Drosophila melanogaster: one gene and its partner. The protein of the gene in region 2 interacts with the protein of the main gene of each other region in a pairwise test. Each region holds a gene or a part of one and is shown on either strand. Other genes may lie near its edges.

The links. The genes of interacting proteins can lie anywhere in the genome.
Region 1: the proteins of CG12825 (region 2) and CG5104 interact in a two-hybrid assay, tested with the Drosophila melanogaster proteins (one large-scale study listed by BioGRID).

What each region holds. Positions count from the first base shown.
Region 1 is NT_037436.4:20,519,487-20,522,979, reverse strand, and holds CG5104 (uncharacterized protein), read right to left. Parts: upstream 1,972-3,493; 5' UTR 1,825-1,971; coding exon 1,753-1,824; intron 1,566-1,752; coding exon 1,396-1,565; intron 1,321-1,395; coding exon 1,203-1,320; intron 826-1,202; coding exon 694-825; 3' UTR 546-693; downstream 1-545. Other genes in the region: Pss (phosphatidylserine synthase), read left to right, coding at 299-336; mTerf3 (mitochondrial transcription termination factor 3), read left to right, coding at 2,240-3,026, 3,086-3,363.
Region 2 is NT_033778.4:7,787,429-7,790,493, forward strand, and holds CG12825 (uncharacterized protein), read left to right. Parts: upstream 1-1,777; 5' UTR 1,778-1,827; coding exon 1,828-1,930; intron 1,931-1,992; coding exon 1,993-2,072; intron 2,073-2,148; coding exon 2,149-2,284; intron 2,285-2,344; coding exon 2,345-2,460; 3' UTR 2,461-2,560; downstream 2,561-3,065. Other genes in the region: CanB2 (calcineurin B2), read left to right, coding at 1-104, 163-333; CG12824 (uncharacterized protein), read left to right, coding at 2,974-3,065.

The DNA of each region.
Region 1 (3,493 bases), on a different chromosome or scaffold from region 2:
TTGCGCCCGCTGACTTTCTTTATTATTGGCTCAATTTATGGTTAACCACAATGTTTTATCAACTCAATTTGCTCTCAATTTAAATTCTCCTTGCGTTTCTCCCCTTCTCTGTCTCTTTCTCCTTCTCCGATTCTCCGCGGATTGCATTGCCACAAAAAAGCACAATTGCCAAGGAGTAATTCCATTGATGCACCCAACATCATGCACTACGATATTAAAATTAAAATAGTCTAACCAGTTATTGTTAACTTTTATATCTGCTACTTTTGATCTACAATTTTTCATTTCACTTTTCTAGGTAAATTGTCGCCGCAAAAAGAGAAGAAACTAAAATAAGAAGTTGATATAAATAAACTTTAAAGCTGCAGAAACAAAGTGGATCGGGCCATTCTTTAAATTAAAAACCAAAACAGAGAAGAGAATTATGTACATAAACTAAAGAAAACTGTACTGATTAAATTAAATACATAACATGTAAATATATATATATATATGTATAAAAGATATATATATATATATATATATATTTATTAAAAAGACAAAATGGAATTATTGTACTTGTTAATAAGAGAATATAAAGGACATTCTATGTTCTAGTGCTAGGTTAATACAATACAAAAGATTTAATTGTCTTAGCTTAAGCTACAAACCAATCTGGCTTTTCTCGAGCTATGTACAGAAGCGCATCTGATTCTAGACCTCCAGAATTGCCGACATGGTCTTCTTGACCGCATCGCGGGCGTAGGGGATGTACGACAGCGAGTACCAGGTCATGGCCAGAGATTGTATGATAATGAATATAAGCGTGAGTCCCGCCTTTTTCCACTAAAGCCAATCAAATAAAAATAATAACATATTAAGTGCACACATCGATTGCATCGTACTGTTTTTTTGTTCAAGTAATAAGAATTAAACCAATATTCAGAATTTAATTGCTAGGGCATGTGAAACTGTGTTATTAATATTAAAAGTAAAATGCTAAAAGCTTTCATTTAACTTTACTGTGAGTTCATGAAGTATGTATAAGATTTGGATCGCTATTTCATTGGATAACTTTAAAGTCTAAACATTAAGGAAAAGTTTTCTACAAAACCTGCAAACAAATTCGTCATGCTATCGCTATAAAACTAACTTGATTATAAAAGTTAACGACCGAACCCTAAATAATTGTGATATCTTCGATTTGAGCATGGACGCCTTACCACAATAGCAGCGATGAACGTCAGGACCATCATGACGAGCACGATGATGGTGGCGATCAGCCGTGTTTCCGCAAACATTTTCTTGATCTGCTTGAAGGGACCCATGAGAAAGCAGGTACTGAAACCGGAGAAGAGAGACTCATTAGCCGGCTTGTGTGAAGTACGAGTGGAACGGAACCAGCAACTCGCTCACCTGGCCATCGAGATGACGTTTCCTAGAGTGTAGAAGACCGCAAAGACCACAATGCCCCTGTGCAGAAATAGGGCGACCGAGCCGAGTAGGGAAAGTAAGATGCCCAAGGCAAAGCAGATGACGAATCCCTTGATCCGAGTGGACCAGCTCAAAGTGGACATGTCGTTGATCTGCGTATGTAATTGATTGATATTAACTAAATACTTTGATAAGCGTTGGGTCACACGGCTTGGGGCGCCATGTGATCGCGGGGCGTTGCCAGCGGCTAGCTCCTAAGCCACGCCATAATCATAATTCCTCCAGCCAGAATATGTTAAGGGATCTAATGAGATCTGTACCATTAGAAAATTTCTTCACCTGCGTAATGATACTGCTCTCCTCCTCCGGAGTGGGCTCATCTCCACTCAGAACGCGGCGCAACTTGTCCATTATGCGGCGATTGAATAATGTTCAACAGGTGGCTGACTTGGAATTACCGGCACTCCTCTCGGGGGGTTTTGCACATACAAGGGTCTCTTCTGTTTTTATGCTCCGGAATTTTCACACCAAAATAAATCCAAGATCATACCTAGTGTGACCGTGGTGGTAACCGTTAACATATACCGTCCGATTAAAAATTATACCAACAATTTGCAATTTTATATATATCTTCATAAAAAAACTAAAGAAATCAGATATTAGTAGTGCATTTTTGTTCAAGAATATCCATTTAAAAACAAATATGTTTTTATATCAAAATCATATTCAAAATATAATTTTAGCTTTTTCTAGCTAGCATGCCATATTTAGAAACTTTGGCAGCCAACTGCTGGTCACATTCGCGACATCTGGCAACGCCTCCAGCATGTTTTGTTCAGCTCTACGTAACATTTTGAGGAATTCACAAAATGCGGCTAAAAACGCAACAATTACCTCACAAATACGAAATCTGCGAGGACAACAAAGTGTCCACCATGAGGTAGAAGTGTTAACATCACCGGGTATAACCACCAAACAGAATGACAAGAAGACCGAGCCTGCGGAATGTGAAGGCTCCAAAGAAGTGGCTCTGGACTTCCGAAATCGGGAGGCCCATGTGCCTTCCTTCAATTTGGCGGCCTATGTGAACAACTCGAGTACCCTGCAGCAATTTCTCAGCTTGGGAGTGGATCTGCACAGTATTGAACGGCGAAAGGGATTGGGAGACTTTGTACTGAAGCTGGATTTCGAGAAAAATGTGAAGCCCTACATAACGTTCCTGGTGGATCAGGGCGTATCACCCGATGACTTCGGCAGGATGTTCACCAAGAACCCGCTGCTGTTCAAGGAGGACTTGGACGATCTGCAGACCAGAGTGAACTATCTAAAAAGCAAGAGATTCTCGGACGAAGCCAGGCAAAGAATTCTCACCCAGAATCCTTATTGGCTGATGTTCTCCACCAGGCGAGTGGATCGTCGATTGGGTTACTTCCAAAAGGAGTTCAAATTGAGTGGTCATGATCTGCGACTGTTGGCCACCAGAGAACCCAATGCCATTACCTACAATATGGAACACCTCCGCAAGTCTGTGTTCACCCTTAAGGAGGAAATGGGATTCAATGCCAAGGAGCTAAGTGACCTGGTGGTACGAAAGCCGCGCCTCTTGATGATTCGTAAGTCTATCTACATTCAAAATTAAGGACATTTGTAATTAAACAACTTATCCTTGCAGCTCCGGATGATCTTGTCGAGCGATTTAGTTACATTCACCAGGATATGGGCCTTCCACATGCCCAGATTGTCCAGTGCCCGGAGCTTTTGGCCTCACGCGAATTTAGACTGCGGGAACGTCATGAGTTCCTGAAATTGCTTGGAAGAGCGCAATATGATCCGCAAAAAGACCTGTATATATCGCCAAAAACTATAGTGGAAGGCAATAACTTTTATTTCGTCCGAAATGTGGCTAAAAGTGATTTGGAAACATTTGATTTGTTTTTGAAAACGAGATAAGAATAAAATAAAAGTAAATGTATATATACTTTTCATATTCATATATGCATATGCATATATTTTCAAAAGTCAACAGAAACCAAGTTTTATCATTTTAAAAATAACCACCAATAAATTTACTTGATACAAG
Region 2 (3,065 bases):
CGCAGTTCAGCGTCAAGGGCGACAAGCTGTCCAAGTTGCGCTTCGCCTTTCGCATCTATGACATGGACAACGATGGTTACATTTCCAATGGCGAACTGTTTCAGGCAAGACCCGCGAACATTACGTTAAGCTCATTCCACTGAAGTGTTTCCCCTCTAAAAGGTTTTAAAGATGATGGTAGGCAATAATCTGAAGGACACGCAACTGCAGCAGATTGTGGACAAGACGATCGGATTCGCGGATAAGGATGAGGATGGCAAGATCTCGTTCGATGAGTTCTGCTCTGTGGTCGGCAACACGGACATTCACAAGAAGATGGTAGTCGATGTCTAAAATAGGTTTAACGCAGATCCTTTTCTACGCGATGTTATTTATTTATTTTATACACGTCGGCATCCTTCGATTGTCACTATCACCACTATTCATATGGTTATTATTTTTGATCGGCGATTCTCTATAGTTAAATATTGTTATGAGCCTTTGGCGAGCCAGTTCAGTTAGTCAGTCAGTCAGTCAGCCAGCCAGCCAGTCAGTCAGTACAGCGATCGAAGGCTTAGGGAGAAATCGCGAATGCAATGTTGTTATCCTAAGTTGAAAAGTGGAATAATGCGCCTCCTACTTACTTCTTAAATATATTCATCTATATACTTATATATAAATGCATATATAGTCATAATTTATTATACAAATATACATTTAAAGAATTCAAAAACCCCAGAAGCAAAACTAAACTTAACTAAGGCGGAATCCAAGTTCGTGCAAGCAAAGGCAAATAAAGCAACCCAAGTTGAACGAATGCTCTATCGAATGCACTTTCGCTCTATCATATTGATGTTATATTTCTAATTCTCCTGTGATTTTGCCAAAAACAAAACAAAAAAAAAAAAAAAAAAACAACAAAACCAATCGAAATGCAACAAATCGAAATATGAAGTGCTTATGATGAGAAAGGACAGATGCGCGGGGCAGCTAAGCAACCTGCCCGAAGGAGGTCTCCTCTATTGACTTAGTCTTATTTACACGTTGTGTACTTTTTATATATTTATACATACCTACTTGTACTAATCGAATGTTATAACCTACGTAACGTATTTTTATATATCTTGACTAACTTGATAACACCAGAGGAAGGCGACGTTTGCCAAGTTTCTTAAGTCTATCTTAACCAATTTCTAACGCCACTTAACTCAAATTAATCAACGATTCTCACGCAGAACGTAGAACGCCTCGAACGTTTTCTAAAATACGCTACATTTTGCAGTTTATAACGCGAGTTAACTGAAAATCGAATAGTTATTATACATCAAAACATACATATGAAGCAATGCCGTGCGGTGATATTGCAGTAACATTTTTTTATACCTAATTATACTAGTTAAAGATGCAAGAAAACCAAATAGTAAAACGCATGTTACAAATTTTACAATTAACAAATTTTTGCACACTCGCCACTCTCAATTCGTTAGCTAATCAATTAAATTCCATTGCATTATTCAAAGTAATCGACTCGAGGTCGTATCTCATTGTAAAATGGTGTAGCCACAAGTTGGGAACCCATCGATAGATAGGCCCGCATGGATTGCCCAGTTAGCTGGCCAGTCGAAGCAATAATAAGCGAATCCTTCAATAAAATTATAATTATACACTAACCAACAAAGGTTTTCTTCAATTGTTGTTGCGCTGGTGGAGGAGCTACAGTACAATATGAGATTAGATAAGGTCTGCGGCAAAAGCTAGCCTGCTCACCCATCACCACCATGAATACTCCCGTCCAGTTTAGTTGTGAAATAATCGGCGGTCTGCAAGTTACTCTGCGATTTTGGAAACATGTGGAAGCTGGACACCAAAGGAGGAATCATCTGCTCGGGCTGCCTGTCCATAGCCTTTGCCATAACCTATCTGGTTTTGATGGACGATTACTTCTGGAAATGTAGGCGCATATACATACCAATCTTGGATATCTTTGCGATGCATAGAGCTATTTCGTTTCAGATGGACTCTACGAGATGGGAATACACATTTCGGCGCTGCAGATCTTGGGAAGCGTGGTCCTCATCGTTGGAGCCATAAAGGTTAGTTAGGCACACTGTGCACAGTCCACAACACTCTTATCTCTTATCTCTTTGCTCTGCTCTTTGCTGCATACAGCAAAAGCACAAGTTCTTCGTGCCGTGGATGATAACCACAGGATTCTTTTTATACCTGATGGTGAACCTGTTCATTTCACTGATAGTCCAGGGCACAGCTTGGATCTTCGGACCATTGATGGTCGTTCCGTTCACAGGTGAGGAGTTAACGCAGCCAGAGATTGGACAGCCAATTAACCAAAATCCTTCACTTTCAGCCTATCTGGGCTGCGCCCTGTACTCGGTGCAGAAGGCCTTCGACAGGATGCGCAAGGAGGAGCCACCGGCATATGCCAGCTTGTCCGACAAGAAGGAGTTCATCAATCACATATAGATACATATATAAGCAATTTCAATACAAACAAAAAAAAGATTAAAGGTAGATCAGATAGCTGGAAAATAAAAGCTCATTTTAAGTGCTATTCAAACGAAACAAACCCACAAGAAATCGGTGTAAATTTAAACTTTTCTAAAGTTTATTACAATTTGCAATGGGAACTATAAACTTTAAGGCAATCACTTTTGTGAACTATTATTTTCAGTGTGCTCTGAAAATATATTTGTTATCTTTTTTCTGCGAAATTTCGTTTCCAGCTCACATCTCTGTTATCTCTGACAAAGGTAATTCTGTTTTTTTTTTACTTTTATCATTTGGCTTTTAGCAAAGCTTGTTTTCTATGATGCACAATTTTATTATCCCTTTTGCGGTGCCTATATATCCCACAAAGGCTTTTATGTATATGCGTTGTATATAAAGCAATGGCTGATTAGATAAGTATTAAAAAAAGCTTTTTAGTAATGGAACAATGGATCATTTGCGAACAAAACGCCCATCGAGGAGTTGGAAATGTGGAAACCGGACTCCAAGGCGGGCATTATTTGCTCCGGGGCTGCATCGATCTGCCTTGCGATCGCCTACCTCATCATATTCGCCAACTT